Linked DNA regions of Caenorhabditis elegans. The protein of the gene in region 1 interacts with the protein of each later gene in a biochemical or structural test. Each region holds a gene or a part of one and is shown in the gene's direction. Other genes may lie near its edges.

The links.
Region 2: the proteins of tra-2 (region 1) and tra-1 interact in far-western blotting, tested with the Caenorhabditis elegans proteins (one study listed by BioGRID).
Region 3: the proteins of tra-2 (region 1) and her-1 form a complex in vitro, tested with the Caenorhabditis elegans proteins (one study listed by BioGRID).

What each region holds. Positions count from the first base shown.
Region 1 is NC_003280.10:6,962,632-6,967,328, reverse strand, and holds the start of tra-2 (Sex-determining transformer protein 2), read left to right. Parts: upstream 1-1,655; coding exon 1,656-1,838; intron 1,839-2,012; coding exon 2,013-2,125; intron 2,126-2,175; coding exon 2,176-2,272; intron 2,273-2,322; coding exon 2,323-2,518; intron 2,519-2,573; coding exon 2,574-2,686; intron 2,687-2,741; coding exon 2,742-2,873; intron 2,874-2,927; coding exon 2,928-3,608; intron 3,609-3,657; coding exon 3,658-3,793; intron 3,794-3,851; coding exon 3,852-4,115; intron 4,116-4,166; coding exon 4,167-4,281; intron 4,282-4,340; coding exon 4,341-4,437; intron 4,438-4,489; coding exon 4,490-4,567; intron 4,568-4,612; coding exon 4,613-4,697. Other genes in the region: eif-2Bgamma (Translation initiation factor eIF2B subunit gamma), read left to right, coding at 1-52, 105-261, 312-504, 552-714, 764-874, 917-1,029, 1,198-1,301, 1,372-1,430. UniProt on the Caenorhabditis elegans protein: Plays a major role in controlling sexual cell fates.
Region 2 is NC_003281.10:11,192,187-11,197,269, reverse strand, and holds the start of tra-1 (Sex-determining transformer protein 1), read left to right. Parts: upstream 1-2,068; 5' UTR 2,069-2,206; coding exon 2,207-2,227; intron 2,228-2,309; coding exon 2,310-2,405; intron 2,406-4,167; coding exon 4,168-4,228; intron 4,229-5,083. UniProt on the Caenorhabditis elegans protein: Plays a major role in controlling sexual phenotype. Terminal global regulator in a well-characterized cascade of sex-determining genes. Promotes female development. Interacts with tra-2 to promote spermatogenesis.
Region 3 is NC_003283.11:9,694,937-9,702,552, forward strand, and holds her-1 (Protein her-1), read left to right. Parts: upstream 1-2,078; 5' UTR 2,079-2,192; coding exon 2,193-2,335; intron 2,336-2,384; coding exon 2,385-2,497; intron 2,498-5,833; exon of another isoform or gene 5,834-5,835; coding exon 5,836-5,993; intron 5,994-6,502; coding exon 6,503-6,616; 3' UTR 6,617-7,099; downstream 7,100-7,616. UniProt on the Caenorhabditis elegans protein: Dictates male development. Probably plays a direct role in cell signaling during C.elegans sex determination. Inhibits the function of tra-2a.

The sequences.
Region 1 (4,697 bases):
AGAGGATTTTGGAACCGCGGATCTATTGAAGAATCATCATTCTAAAATTACGGTAAGTCAATCAGCTGAAAAAGAAGTTACCTTAATAATTCTAATTTTTACAGAAAGATGCATTGATTGTTTCCTGTGATTTTATCAGCGATGCCAGTCTCATTCCACTTGTTGATTTCTTCCGAGCTACAAATTCCACGCTTGTCGCTCTTATTGCAGATACGTGTGTCAATGCTCCGGCTCCGGGATCAAAATCGAAAAAACCTAAAGGTATTATTTATTTCAACCTTCCTCTAATTTATCAAAATATTAATTTACAGCCACCGATGTAATGGCAATAGTAGAATCGACAGGTCAACTTGCATTCCTTTGCGGAGATGATGATTTTGATGCTCCATTGGTTATGGAGAAAAGTTTGAAAATATTCCCATCGATCAAATTAACTTCAAAGTACAATGATTGTCATGTTTATGCTATACGTCATAAAGTTCTTCTTAATCTGTCAAAATCAAAGTAAGTGTTTCTTTGAATGTGTTTTACTCTAAATGTATAATTTCTAGACACATTTCATCATTCAAAGCCGATTTTGTGCCTCTTCTGATTGATAAACAATTTGAACCGGATTCTGATATCAAATGCTTTGCATATCGTCTTCCTCATGAAAATGGATTTGTAACTGCACATGCGAATACTCTTGGCTCTTATTTCGAAGTGAATAAAGCTGTAAGTGCTAATAATGCATTATCATATAGCCTTTAAATTGTTTTTTTAGATTCAAAAATCTTTTACTCGATTGATGGAATATCGCGGAAATGGGAAGAATTTCAACTACAAAACTGATAAAATTGCTGCCCACGAGAGTCGGATCGAAGAAAGCGCAGAGGTAATACTTGTTCAAAAATAGTTAGGGAACATTTCCATTCAGATTGACAAGGATTCAGTTATCAAACGGTCTTTCATCTCGGATAATTGTCGGATTGGTGAAAAAACAAAGCTAAAAGAGAGTATCATTGCCAAAGGCGTTGTCATTGGAAATGGGTTAGTTTTGGGATTTTCGTAGCGCGAGAAGTTTCGGATGAGCTTTCGGAAAAGATATTTTCTTAATAAATAGACAAACATATGAAAACTTTCGATTTAAGAATTCTTCTGTTATCACAATTACTGATTTCTTGAATTAAAACTTGAATTTATACTTTTCCATTCCAGTGCCTCCATAAGCAACTCTATTATTTGTGATGGAGTAGAAATCGGAGAGAATGCTGACGTCACCAATTGCATTGTTGCTAAGGATCAGAAGGTACCTGCTAAAGGTTAGTTGTTTTCATTAGTGTTGTTTTTTTTTTAATTTCTCGTGTTTCTTTATAAATCAACGATTTTCAGGCAAAGTTCAAAACGAGGTAGTAGAAGATGGAGAAGACGAAGAATGGACCGATGATTAACAATCTTGGAATTTTAGGAATAATTGGAGCCTTTTTGTGTTTTCTCTTTTTTTTACGCGGTTGTTTTATTTTTGTTTTCTGATAAATTTATTGAAGATTAAGTTTTTTTGAAATTTTCGTTTTCCTCTATCTTTCACTCCAATGATAGGTTCTCTAACCCTACAAATTATTTTGAGTAATATTTTTATTTACGATATTATTTTACTAACAGATAATAATGGAACAATGAAATTGAAATACAATAAACTTCTCGTTTCGGTGGTGATTGTCACCTTTGTAACATTCGGGTTGCTCTTAGCGGAATGTTTTGGAAAATCAATTGATTATCAAGAAAAATCAATATTTCCATCGTTTGTCAGCCAGGGATTCTTCGAAACTCGTACGAACAATGAAGAATACATTATCGAGGTATAACCTTTTCAATTTGGAATTCAGATACTGAAAGTTTTTAAAATTTTAAAATGGCTATTTGAATTAGATGACAAGGTCTAAATATTTTTAACTTTAAGCTAAGTATGACATGATTTTGTGAACAAACAAATGTTTTTAAATTTTCAAACTATATAAATATAAATTTTCTAGAAAATCGCTCAAACCCAGGAGAATGGAGTAGATATGCGATCAACGTTACATTTCACTCAACATGGATACTTACTGAACAACATTTCAAATTTGAAAATTAAATTTCGCCAAAAGTGAGTTTATTTCATTCGTACTCTTCCATAAAACGTCCAACATATTTTAGAACATACACACTCAATGATGTCTGCTTTAAACCACATATTACAATATTCCAACAATCCTCTTCATCCGATCAAAACGAATATCCACATTATATCCAGGTTTTCTTGACTTTTAGAAAATTAAAATTTCATTAAAATAGTAATTTCAGAGGCTTCTTCTTGAAATGCAACGTCTGTCACCATGTCTTATCGTGACACCTCTAAACTGTTTCTATGATATCTACCGTATTCATGGTGAAATCAGTAATTGGAATAAGAATACCGACTTTTTGAATCGAAGACTTAGAAATTCTTATATTGAAGCTATTGGAGAAAATGATGAGAGGCCGTATGTGAAATCAAATTGTAATAAATCAAAATAAAAATATGTTAAAAAAAAAACAAATAAATATGTATTTAGATGGACCTAGCCTGATCAAAAGTTGGGCCGATCACATGTTTGATTTACCATCGAAGTCATTCACCAACTCAACTAAAGATGCATTATTTCAGAAGATTAAGCTTTGGCTTTTGGTAGGAATACATTTAATTATAATCTTCTTTTTTCAACAACCAACAAAATCTTCAGAGCATAGAACCACGCCAAAAAACATGTGCAGCTTCAATTCATTCCTGTGACACACCTCTGGACTCTGAACACTACTTCAATATATGTACAGATATGCAGTCTGTTGATAATTTCGCTGAAAAGAAGACAAAGGTATTAATATATGCATAACCACGCAATTACTGAAAAAAAAAAGAAAAATTGCAGTTCAAATTAGAAGATGTCGATGAAGAATTCGCAATGAATCTCGATTGTGTGGATGATCAAGAACAGTTCATTGAATGGATGCAGGAGTTGGAGATCAGAAAAATGTATTCTCATGTAACTGAAAAGCCAGATTATCCAAATGTTGTAAATCAAACATGCGATAAGATTTTTCATGATTTGAATAGCACTGGAATTGAATTTTTCGACGGATCGAGAAGCTTCAGTAGTACAAAATCTCAATTTGATACAATGCAAACGGAAATTGTCCTGTTAACTCCTGAAATGCTCTTATCAGCTATGCAACATTCAGACTTTGTGAATGGTTTTGAATCAATTTGGACTATTGAAAAAGCTGAAGAACTTATTCATGAATTCCGATTAGCCTTGAAAGAAGAAACTGAGAAGTTCAAAGAGAATAGAATGAGCAAAATGATAAGAGTTACATCACGAGTTTTGGATAATACTGTAACTACGAAACTTCAATCATTTTCGGAGAAACAAACAATACATTTTGTGGTTAATGTACATTCATTAATTGTGATCTTATTCACAATCTTCGTATGGTCTGGTGCTCCTCTCAGATCAGCTTTCATGTTTTTTGTTCGAGATGCTCTCACGTGTTTACTTTTCTGTTTTGTCTGCAGTACCGATGGAGTTATCGTTTTGGATACGGAATTAATAGTAAGCTTATAAATGAAATAATAGTTAAATGTATAAAGATATATTTCAGAAGTATATAATTGTCCTTACATTGGCTAATCTCTACTTCACAACTCGTTCTTCATTCTGTACTGAACGACTATCCCGATGTATTCAACGAGAAAAACGGTTTCCCATAAACTCAAATTTTGCTTCTCTTATTACAGGTATGCCTTAAAATTTTTTTGTATTTTTTTAAATTTAAAATTTGATATCTAATTTCAGTTGACACAATGACTGATTCTCGTCAAATACAATACTTCCTTAGTACTGTAACAAAGTATCAAGCAGCCCAAGACTCATATTCAAATGAATTATTTGAAAGGTTCCCGAAGAATTGGGGTTGCACATCAATTCTGATATTTCCAATCGTTTTCGTCTATTGGTATTTCATTGATTCTAATTTTGACAAGATTTGTGTTTCTGTTCTACCATCATTTTGTTTGGCTGCTGGTGAAGAGCTTTTTGCTAAGAATATGTTTTGGAAAGGTATTTAAAAATTAAGGTTCGAGATTTTAAAACTGAAAATGCTATTTTTAGAGCGTGAAGCAATGCAAGCAAAGCAACGACTGGAAAATGAAGAACAGGCTGAAAGTATTACTGGAAGCTCCCTTGAAAAACTGTTTGCTGGTAATAAACCGGTTTCTAACACAGAGTGAGTGATCAGAATTGCCATGAAATTACCGAAAAAATCTAAATTTTTAATATTTTCAGCAAAGCTAATATTGTCAAAAAATCAAGCATCATCAGAAATCAAAAACCTTGTCTCCAAGATCTTTCACCCGGTACCTACGATGTTTCGAATTTCATGGTAAACCATTGTACAAGAAACATATTCATTCTCGTAGTTAAATTAATTACAGAAGTATCCACATCAAGCATCCAGAATATTCCGGGAAAAGATCATTGGATTATATCTTAGGATTCTGAAATTGAGAACAGTAGGTTTTCTTAATTGCGAAATCTTTTGAATGTATTTTTTCCAGCTCGGTGTGATTTTATGCATTCCTGCGATTCTTCTAATTGTGATATCAATTGGATTGCTGTTTATTCCAGTTAAAAGAGAAACAC
Region 2 (5,083 bases), on another chromosome or scaffold:
TGAAAACAGAAAATGGTTCAGAAAAGGAAAAATACCTTGTCAAGGACAAACTTGTAAGCATCCGCCTGAGAAAACATTAATCCCGAAGGCCACTCACACTTTCGTTTTCGGAACTGGTACCTCTAATCTCGAAAATTTCGTAAAAATCGAATTTTTGTGGATAAAATTTTTTTTCTGCTTCTTTTCTCCGAAATTAATTTTTAAAAAAAAGCAATTTTCATGTTGAATTGGAAAAAAAAACATTCTAAGATTTTTTAGTCGAATTTAACCTAAAAACTAAATACTCAAAAATTAAAAAAAAAAACTAATTGCCGTTCGGAAACGGCAAATCGGCAAACCTTGCCGATTTGCCGGAAATTTTCAATTTCTCCAAATTGCCGATTTGCCGTTTGCCGGATATCAATTTGCCGAAAATTTTTAGACAGATTTTTTATAAGACGGAAACTCGTAAGACTGTGCCTTTTTGAATTTTTTTCCCGTTTTCTTTAGATATTTTCATAGAGTTTGCTTACAATTTTCAAAAAATTTCCGGCAAATCGAAAAAATTGCCGATTTGCAGGAATTTCTCATATCCGGCAATTGCCGATTTGCCGGATATCAATTTGCCGGAAACTCTTAAAACTGTGCCTTTTTGAAGTTTTTCCCCGTTTTCTTTAGATATTTTCATAGAATTTGCTCAAAAAATTTCCGGCAAATCGAAAAAATTGCCGGTTTGCCGATTTGCCGGAATTTTCATTTTGCAAAATGCCAATTGGCCGTTTGCCGATAAAAAATTGTTTTCCGCCCACACCTGATTTGAATGTTAAAAGCGGAAAAATATCACACAAACGCGATTATTAGCGATTTTTTTCCGCGAGAAATACGGTACTCGGTCTTGGCACGAAAATTTTTTTCTTGAATGCCAAAAGGTTTTGCGCCTTTAAGAATTACTGTACTTTGAAACTTTCGTTGTTCCGGTATTTATTATCAATTTTTGAAAATGTATTATTTATTTATTTAAAAACTAACAATAAACACTGGGCAAAAAAAAAACTCCAAAAAAAAATGAAACTACCGTATTCTTTAAAGGCGCACACCTTTTTGCATTAAATTTCAAAATTTGGCGAATAATAAAAAAAACTACAGTCGCCTCAAAGAAAATTTAGAATATTTTCGCAACATTTTTTTCCATTTTTAGACGAAATTTACTCGAAAATTCCAGAGTTTTTCAAAAAATCCCAATTTCGCCTTCCTACCGTAGTCCAGCGCGGGAATTCAAAATTCTCACGTTCCACCGGTCTCCCTTATCAATATATATCATCCTCCCAATCACTTTCACTGGTTACTTTTTCAATTTCCCTTTTTTTGCGAATTTCCGTTCGCGAAAACGAAAAAATTCCAAAAAAAAAGACCGGTGGCTATAGATACAGTACTATTCCCCCTCTTCTCAACATTTTTATTTTTTTCTTACTTTTTCTCGGCGCTGGCGCCTAGTGCCCGCGGTGGTTTTGAGACTTATTATCAGTTTTTTATCAGTTACGCCACCAATGTACGGCGTCTCTCTGTCTCGTATGCTATTTTCGCATCGCCAAGGGGGTTAGATGTTCTTCTCTCCTATGTATATGTGCTATCAGTCGAGTACTGAAAATTGTGCACGGTTTTTCAAAAAAAAAAACCACCCAAGCCTTGACTCCTTTTTTGTCGTTGTTTTTTCTGGAAAACTCAAAATATTTGTTCTCCATGTTTTTAGCGGGTCTCACCACGATCGTGCCGAGACCCACCCGACAATTAATTTCTCTGCGCCGTTATTTGAAAATTTTTGGCTCCAAACTTTCAAATTGAAAAAGTCATGTATTTTTATATTTAACAGTTCCCAATTTTTTACTGATTTTCACTGAAAAATTGGCGAATTCTCATTCAAAAAGTTTTTAAAATTAATCGAGCCTTACTGTAGTTTTAAAGGAACATGCAGTAATTCTTGCGATGGGTCTCACCACGAACTCTATTCTTTGAATTTTAAATTTAAATTTAAAGATTTTCTTCTCATTTTTCTGCCTAATATCCTTCAAATCTATTGATTTTTTTTGCAGAGAATGTGCCAGGAGGCTCGCCACGTCATCTTCTAAATAATCAACACTATTTGGAGCATCAAGAGCCCCCGCGTCAAGCAATTTTCAACGCAACTCTCCAAATTCAACAGGAAATCAAAAACAACGAAAACGGCGGCATGATGGCCCCCAGTACTGAGGTTAATTCGAGGAATTTTGAATTAAAAAACTAATTTTTACAATTTTCACATTAAAAATTCGTTAAAAATCAATTCTCTCCAGGATCCCGATACGGTTGTCGAGGCTCAACGTCGTGGAAGCTTCTCGAAGAAAAAGAATGCAAATGGGTGGAATAAGGTGGAGCTTGTCGATCAGTGTGTAAGTTTGTGAAGCTGAAAAAAAAATCCATAAAAATCGAACATTTCTAGCGAAATCCCGGTATCTCTACCGCAAAATTCGTAGATTTTTGGAAAAATGCACATTTTTCAGACAAAAACTTTTCGAAAAAGCAGATTTATCACAAAAATTTGAGAAAAATCGAATTTTCACGTACCAGGAGTGGTTTTCCGGAAAAATTCACCGAAATTCGCTTAAAATTGAACTGAAAACGTCCGAAATTTCAATTTTTTGTTGATTTTCCCACTTTTTAAGCTTTTTTTTCAAACCTAACTGTATTTTAAAAATTTAGCCTTATTCAGAATTAAATCAGAATTAAAGAATTAAATTCAAACTTAAAAATTTTAAAAATTCGAGTTTGACAACATGTTGAGCTTGAAAATCGCAGTTTTAGGCTTAGGCTTTTAGGCTTATAATTAGGCTTAGGCTTATGCTTAAGCTCAGGCTTAGGCTTAGGCTTAGGCTTGGGCTTTTAGGCTTAAACTTAGATTCAGGATTAGGCTTTTAGGCATAGGTTTAAGCTTAACCTTAAGCTTAGGCTCAGGCTTAAACATAGGCTTAAGCTGAGGCTTAGTCTCAGCCTAAGGCTTAGGCTTAGGCGACGGATTAGGCTTAGGCTTAGGCTTTAGCATAGGCTTAGGCCTAGGCTCAGGCTCCGGGGAAGAGAAATTCCTAGAAATTCCTTTAAAAAACCCAGGAAAAACGACAAAAATCTGAAAAAAATGGGGCTTTCTGTAGTCGGGTCAAAAAAATGCATGTCTAGGCGTCTAATTTCAAAAACACTTCCAAAATATTATTTCCGGCAATTCCGGCAAGTACCCCGCACCCCTGAATCAGGCCTGCCGGTTTTTTTTTTCAAATTTTGCTCATTTTGCTCAAAAAAAAAACAGACCGAAAATTGAACATTTTTTCGGCGGCACCCCGGACCTTTTTTCTGCGGTCCTATAAAAACACGTGGTGCCAGACTGTCCCATCACGTTTTGTTGATCTACGAAATTGCGGGAATTTTTTGCCCAAAAAAATAACACGTTCTTAACCATGCAAAATCAGTTTAAAAGTGTGCGTCTCTTTTCCCGCATTTTTTGTAGATCAACGTAGATCAAGCCGAAATGAGACACTCTTACAGCACTTGTAAAAATATAAAAATCGATTTTCCCTCGAAAATCGCCAAATTTTCCCGCCAAAAACTTGTCGATTTTCTCGTCTCTGGGTTGTCCAACCGTGAGAATTTATATTTTTCTTCTTCTTCTTCTCAATTTTCTCAGCTCTACATGTTTCTCATTTCCTTTTTCGGGTTCATATCACCACCGTTACCTCGTCTAGACCGCCCGAATATTTCTGCTCCTCTGATCATCGAACACTGCTCCGCCACTACTTTTTTTTCGCTGGGCGCTGTTGCTGCTCCTGCCACGTCGTTTTTTTTTTCCGCTCGACTGATAAGGAGTTGTTCTATCCAAAATTCGAGAGACAGAGAATTCCGATAAAAATACATACATATTATTTTGAAGTTCTCGTGCACTTTTGCTCTTACACTGGCACCGCCGAGCACACCCCCGCCGCGGTTGATGAGGAGGTCAGAAAAGTATAATTTGGGTCTTAGCACGCCCTGAAAATGCAAAAAAATATGGATTTTTTCAGTCAGAAGCTCATTTTTTAGGGGATTTTATCTAGAAATTCCCTAAAATTTTGGGCCCTTTCTGGATTTTCTCATGAATTTTTTAAATCAATTTTTACAATTTTCCAGGCCAAGCAAATGGGTTCGGAGGACAAACAACCTGGTGGTGGCGACGTGAAAACCGAAAATGGTACGGGAAATCGCGCTCCGTTGAGAATGACCGCGCGATTCGGCGGCAATTTGAATAGTTTTAACGAAAAAAAATGCGGAAGAAATTCGCATTAGAGCGCATTTGCACCCACATTTTTTCTTTGAAAATCGCCCGATGGAGTCGGATGGACCACCCGTTTTCAGCTTTTCTAGAGAAATTATTCAGTTTTAGACCAAAAAATTCCACAGAAAATAGAAAATTCCACAATTTATAAATATACATTTATTAGAAAAAATTTTTGAATTTAAAAAAACGGGCGATTTTCGACTCTAGACACCGCCTTTTTTCAAAAATTTTTGTAATTTTTGGGCAAAAATGGCTCGGCAAACCGAATTAAAAAATTTCCGGCAAATTGGAAAATTGCCGGAATTTAAAATTTCCGGCAAATCAGCGAGTTGCTGAAATTTGAAATTTCCGGAAAATCGGAAATTGAAATTTCCTGCAAATTGGAAAGTTGCCGGAATTTAAAATTTCCGGCAGATCGACAAATTGGCAGAATTTGGAATTTCCGGCAATTCGGCAAATCGCCAGAATTTGGAATTTCCGGCAATTCGGCAAATCGCCAGAATTTGGAGTTTCCGGCAAATCGGAAAATTGCCGAAAGTTGAAATTTCCGGCAAATTTGCGGAATTGAGGATTTCAGGCAAATCGGGTGAAATTGGCAGAGTTGAACATTTCCGGCAAATCGGCAGAATTTGGAATTTCCGGCAATTCGGCAAATCGCCAGAATTTGGAATTTCCGGCAATTCGGCAAATCGCCAGAATTTGGAATTTCCGGCAAATCGGAAAATTGCCGAAAGTTGAAATTTCCGGCAAATTGGCGGAATTGAGGAT
Region 3 (7,616 bases), on another chromosome or scaffold:
TATTGAAATTACGATTGGCATCGGATTTGAACTTTCAGGTACTGATGGAGACATAATTTGAATAGATATTTCTAGAAATGAAAACCTTGCAGTTGAATATTTGAATTGAAATATTGGATATCAAGAAATTACAACATTTAAAAAAATCAAATCAAAATGGCAAAACATTCAGAGAAATGAGTTTGCTTGTATTACTTGGTTTTAAAGGCGCATGACTCTTTGAGATTACTCTATTGAAAATTTTTGAAACGTGAGAATTTCTAGTTCGCAAATTCGTAATAAATTTGATTAAAAAATATGTTGAATGTATCTAATTCACAGTTGCAATATTTTTTCTTACTATTATTTTCCATTGTATCTGAAAAATTAACAAGTTTCTCATTTTCATTACTACATAGTCATCGTGAAATTTCAAACACTAAATATATTTTTTCCAAGTAATTTTTGATTCCAATTCTTAATTATATTGATGAACAGATAGTTATTTTTGGGCCAGGAAAATAAAATTCAATGTAGCAATATATATTTGCATCAACGGAGCTCAACACCATTATATATCCTTATTTTCCCTGAATTGCCTTTATTGTGCTCGGTTGTAGCTACACTTGTAGACCCACGTCATCTGTCCACACCGCCTACTCGTTTGATCTTCTTTCCCGCGCATTCGATCTCTAAGTCACTCAATCTCCTATGCTATTTTAGTGAATCACGCACATGCAATAGCATTTGCTCACAATTGCAGACACTCAGTTACTGTGAGACAGGCAATATAATGGCCCTTCGGGATATCGAGTGTTGTCTAGAATGAGGTAAGTTGTGAGAAGATAGGAAGACAACGAAGTAAGATAAAGGAATTGTATTTGACTAAAAAATGAAATATCAATTTGATAAAAATATGTTTTGAAACTGTAAATTAATTTAATACATTGTTTTCTTTGACAGATCTTTGCATGTTCAATCAGTTTCTGATCTGAAACTTTCAGCTGAAAAGTATAGACGAATAAATAGTCAAATTTAAGTAAATTGATAATCTTAGATAGACCTAAAAAAGTAAAGTGAACCAATTCACGATTCGGTACGTTTCTGCCATAGAATACAACTCATTTCTTAAAATGATATAGAACAATACTTTAAAGAGTTATTCTAAAGAGTTCTAAGAGTTATTAAGAGATATTACTCTAAAGAGTTACTAAAGAGTATTCAATCTGAACCTTAAAGGAACATTAAAACTGAAGAAGATTATTTTGTTATTCGTTCTATCATTACTACAATCTTGCTCTTTTGATCTCTTGTCTCATGAGTATTTTGGTAGTTCAATCTGACAATTAACAAATTGTTATGCAGGATATTCGCAAATTTGGCAATCCTTATCATATCAATTACCGTCAAAGGTGGAACATACCATGTTTGAAACGAAATGAAGTCAATTGGAACATATAGAACGGTTACAGTATGCTCGATAAAGTATAATTTGATAAACTTTATTTTGTAAAACTATTGTATCAATCATCTACGGCATTAATCCTCAACCTTGAAAATAGATATGAAAGTAAAGTTGACAAGGCACAAAATTGGAACATAGTGATCGAAAATAAAGATATCTATTAATTGGAAATTGTTCGGCGAGGGGCTCTTCGAAACATTTACTGGGGTTTTATGAAAGTTTCTTCTAAAAAACATAATTTAAGATTGAGAGGTGCTCTCAATCAATTCAATATTTTCAAAGAAATAATCATATTCTGTGAAATCAACACTTAAATTATACATTTTTTCATATCTTTTAAAAAATGGAGTTGTATTTACAGGATTTAATGAGATTGTTGAGAGTGACGTCACTGACGAGCAGATATGTTTCAAACATGAACTAATTAGTTTCTAGTATAGTTTTGCCTAGTTTCTTATATATTAAGCAGAAACAACGGACCAGTTCTTCAGCTTCTGAGAGTAGATTATATCTTAGGAGCATACATGAGCACTGTATGTACCTTCTTTGTCTAACTTTCTTTGAGTATCTAAGTCTCTTCAGGTTCTATATCCATCATTCAACCAAATGACACTGCAGGGATGCCTATCTCCTGACTGAACCCACCAGTCGTCTCTTGCTCATATTCCTCCTACCTTCTGCTTCTATTTTCTCAGCGCATCTTGTCCACCTACAGTAGTAAATCTCCTCCCTTTCCTTACGTTGCATTATGAGATATCTCCCAATTTTTGTGTTTCTCGGATCATTTGGCTATACGGAAACTACATTAACAAAGGAACTTATCAAAGATGCAGCTGAGAAATGCTGTACAAGAAACCGTCAAGAATGTTGCATTGAAATTATGAAATTTGGGTGAACCGCTTTTACGAGCACGAACAATGCGATAATCGGTATAATTTAGAACCCCAATTCGATGTGGTTATGACAGGGATCCGAAGCTACCCGGATATGTCTACAAATGTCTTCAAAATGTGTTGTTTGCAAAAGAACCAAAGAAAAAGATTAACTTGGATGGTGAGCGTTTTTTTTTCAGGTAAAATTCTCCTCACAAGCCAAGATATCAAGTTTTGTTTATTCTTAAGAAATATAGGAAATGACTAATACGGTATGTACAAGTTAGTTTTAACTTGAGGAAAATCGAGAAACCGGTGGCATAGCGCCCGCCCGTGAGGTCATTGATTGGCCGGAGGCAGAAAGACCACACGCATTGAAAAGTCACAATATCTTTTCTGCCTCTTTCATTCGTATACTCTTTGGAAATTTTCAATAATTTTGAACATTTTTTTTTTAATATTCTTGCCTCAAATTGTTTTGAAAAAAATCAAAGTAAATCATCAGAGGCTTCTCTGATTTCAAAATAATAGTTAGAACGTAAGTAAAGAGAGAGCGTTTGAAATTTTTCATGAGTAAGATTATTATTACTACTTATCTTTAACTATTTGAAATTTAAAAATGGCATGCAATGTATGGGAGAAATATTTGAAGAAAGCGCCCAAGACTTCAAGAATATCTGAATTTGAGGAGTTATATCACAAAAACTGAGCCTGCAACCTATACTAAAAAGTATACCAAAACAAAGATAAAATTAAAGTCTTTGTTTCTGAGTATTTATTATCATTTGAAAAATTATTTAATAACACGTAAAACGTCTTCAAACTAACCCCAATTTAGAATGTTCGCGCTCTCTCTTGCTGAAATCAATTATAACTATGATAGAATGATTATTCGAATAATTCATAAGGGCTATTATTTTTTCACTTTAAATTATAAAACGAATACTTTACCAATTTTGAAACAAAGTTTCTGCCAATGTGAAATTAAACTGGAAATTGAAGTTTCACCGCTAAGTTCGAAAGCAAATGTTGGGCATTTCCATAATCCGAGTTACAGCAGAACGAGATGTTATCATATAGTAAAAAAATTGTTCAAACATTTTTCGATATTTTAGAAATTAGAAAAAATGCAGTACGATGACGTAGACAATGGTAAGAGGAGGAAGATAGTGCGTATGTGTGCGCAGAGAGGTACAAGGCTTCGGGCATTGGGCAGTCGCCACCATACGCTCGATCGATATATTCAAAGTCGGTCAGGCTTTTAACAATTTGAAGCTTACTGATATCAGTAAATTTGTGATAAATGTCAAGGATACCGTGTCTTTGAAGCAACTTAAGCTCTCTATAGTTTCCTGATTTGATTTCACTTCAACATACTACATTTCCAGTTATTGATAACACTTATCAACTAGCATTTAAACATTTTCTCATATCTATAATAATGTTTGATTTCCTGTAAATAGTTTCCTCTTCCATTTCGAATTGTAATATTTCCCTCAATAACATTGGAACCTTGTTCAACTAAATAGGGATCACTTTGACAACACCTAAAGCATCTACAAAAAATTTTTGGTAATGTAACAACCAAGTTTTCTAAAAGAATTTGACATGCTCTATTTGTTAGAAAAACTTTTTGATTATGTTTCAGGCTCAGTTTTTGAGATATTCAACTCTAAAGTTGCAACTTGTTCTAGGTGGTCCGTTCAATTGTCCTAGGGTTGTGCAGGCAATTGGTATTGCGCAGGGAGAATAGACGGACCCTTGTGTCTTGCGTACCACCTGTCATCATGTTTCGAGAGTAGATATTCTTCAAACCCTCAAACTATTTAGAAATATATTTTTTAGCCTCAAAAAGTTACGTTTTTCGTTCAGAATTCTATTAGGGCTACGTTTTAACATAAGTTTTAAAATAGGCTTCTTTATTTGTTTTTGAGATATTCATGGCCAAAAAAAAACTTTACAGTATTGAATTTGGCTCTAATATTTTTCAATACTTGTTCTCTACAATGTTAAAAAAAAATTAATTTCGCCTACTCATTTGATCATTTAATAGATTTATGAAAACATAAAAATTATGATAACAATGTCTTTGAATTCTCTGATAATGTTCATAATTTGTTTTGATCTTTCTCGTGTTATCTCTCCAAGATAAAAGAGTGTTCTACTGCGAGCACTGATACCATATCTTTGCATGTTTATCCTTTTATCAGTTGACTCACTCTTTTGTTAGGTGTATTGATTAGATGGGAGACTCCCCTGCAACAATTGTCCTACAGGAGCAGAGCAGTTGCTTTTTTTCTTTTGACATCTTGCATTTTTCGTTAGAAAGAAAATATTTAAGTGCCGCCGGGAGCAATCTGTTTTATTTACAAATATATCAGAATGCACGGCATCAGCTAATAAATATTGAATAAGTATTTTCTTGTTCTCACCCCTGTACAGTTTGCTTTTCTATTCCTCATTACACCTCCCAATCCAGGTGTGCTTGGTCCTTCATCTTATTAGATCTGCCATACGGTATAGGAATTACGATCTACAGTCGTCATAAAAGAGTCCGCAATACCGTCATGTGTGTCGAGTTGCAACAAAAGAGTATATGGGAAATGAGAGACTACGGTAAATGAGAGATACCGTAGACGAGATATAATGTAAGAGAGTGGTAGATCAAATGAGATGAAAAACGCGTCGATTAGGTCCATCCAGGAGAAACTAGATTGCGTAGAGCAAACATAGCTGTTTTGACGGGAACAATGTTTTTTGAGACTACAAATATCATAGCTTCAGCTACATCTGAGGTTTTCAAATTTTTCTCGAATAGCTGATAAAGTGAAACTTCATAATGAAGGTAGATATCAGTGCTCAAATAATGTATACCGTATTCCCCGTTATTGTATTAGACCTTATTGTTCAATTTTACCAGCTTATATTTTAGTTAGCGTTTGTTCTATTCAAATATTGCCAATTGAGAAACTATTATTTCTTTTTCAATTGCTTGCAGTTAAAATTTATTGATATCTTTAAAATGAGTTGATAGTGAGATATAAAGCTTTCAATTAAAATAATGTGGTGCAATACTATTAGAGAAAATACAGTAATCTTACTAAACTAAATGCACGCGTGATTAAATCCAAAAAGTACAGAACTTAATTGGTTTATTTAGGTGCGTTCCCCTGAGCAGAAATTGTCTTAATATAAATTAATTTGAAAATCTGAAATTCGAGAAATTTCTACTTTCTGTAAAGTTGTGAATATTCACTAATTTTATTGATAATATGAGGTTTATAGAAAAACTTACAAATGCATTTGACTCACAGAATTGCTATAATTTTACGATTTCCCAGAAGAGACTTTCCCAAAAGAAATCGTTATTTTTGAGGGACAAATTGTCTTAATTATCGATCTATTATTTGCCTCTTCACACGTAAAACATGCCAACACCTGTCTCTTTTGACTCCGCCTCTCTGATTGCCCCGCCCATTTGCCCATCCCACGCCCTAATCTCATATTGTCTTTATTCAGACTCCGTGTGCTGCTCCGTGTTTGGCAACGACCAAAACGATTCTGGAAGAAGATGTGAGAATCGTTGCAAGAACCTCATGACCAGCCCTTCCATCGACGCTGCCACACGTCTGGACAGCATCAAAAGTTGCTCGCTTCTGGATAATGTACTGTATAAAGTGAGTTTTTGTTAACACAGAATTTCAGTTCGCCTATTCTAGTTAGACAAACGGGTAAATTGAAAATATTCGGTGCAATCTGTCTTATGGTTTTTTCAGCTCCTGCCTATTTCAGTACGTAGTCCTAATTTTTCCAGTTTTAAAGAAAGGATCCCTAGTTGACCAAAGCCAAGTTTAAAAATATTAAATTATCTCCAACTCTGTAAAAACGGCTGCGATTTGCAGACTTTTTCTTGGTCCAGGCAAACAATTTTGGAGTTCGTCCCATCCATTCCCTCGTCTATAAAATTCATCCTAAAACGGAGAAAATTAAAAAAAAAATTCAATTGGCAAGCGGAAAATCCGATAGTGGATAGATATCACCCCAAAAATTGTTCGCCTAGGTTGAGATACATTTTTGGAGCAGTGCGTCAGTCCAGGAACCACGTTTTTCAAAGATATCTCATTCGATATTCTAATCGTTCAATTCGAGTTAATCAAGTGTGTCATAAAACAAATTTATTTTTCAGTGTTTTGAGAAATGCCGGAGCCTCCGTAAAGATGGTATCAAAATTGAAGTGCTCCAATTCGAAGAATACTGCAATGCAACGTTTATCCAAAAGCGAACTTTCCGAGGAGTCTGAATCTGGGCTCATTAGCCTAAAACATCCCTAATCCGCCGTTGTCATTATGGCACTCTCCATCATGAGTGGTCCAATTTTTTCTTTTCTTTCTAAACCTTTTTATTTTATTTTTTGTAACACCTCTATGTCTACCTCTTAATCAAAGCTTTGAGCTTTACTCACTTTGAGTTATATTTTTAATCTTGTGTTCTCCTTATGTTGAAGAAAATTTTCGATACGCAACTTGTCATATTGTTGTATATATTTTTAATAGAATTTTTTGAAATGTCCTATTCTTATTGATTTCTTCTTAACATTCTCTTCAAGAATGTTTTCGGATGCGCTCAGATGTCATGAAGGCGCACTACGGTGCGGTCCTGATTTTATTTATTTTTTTTTTCATAAAAAATATATCTTCTCTTGTTGGTTTCTCCTAAAGTTGTCAAATATGAATATTCAAGTACTTTCTACGATCTTTTTTATTGAATAAATTGTTTTATCAACGCACAGAACCCATACGACATAATCAACAAAAAATGATAAGAAAGTGATTTTCGAACTACAAATTTTATCAATTTTTTTTCAATTCTCTGCTTTCTAACAAATTCTAAATTTTATTTGTAATTTTAGTTATTCAAACTGCAAAACGAGCAAAACTTTATTTCTTATCCGTTTTGAAAGATTAATAAACTAAATGTAATGTTGTTTCTCATATTCTGCTTGTTATTTTAAACTGAATAATGCTTTAGAGCTAGCAAGGAAAAATCAATCAATTCATTCGAAATTGATAAAATGGCCATTAAGGTTTTTTTTTAAATTTTATGTGTTAACACATGTGTTGGGTTTCATCATAAACTTGTACTTGGTGGAATTCAAACTATATAAGTTTAGATTTTTTGTAAATCAACACAAGTTACCAAAACTGTTCAGGCGTGATCCGAGTTTGAAGTATGGATTCTGCTAACTTAAGTTTAGAATACAATATAAGAATAAAGTTAAGAAAACAATTAACTCAAGAAAT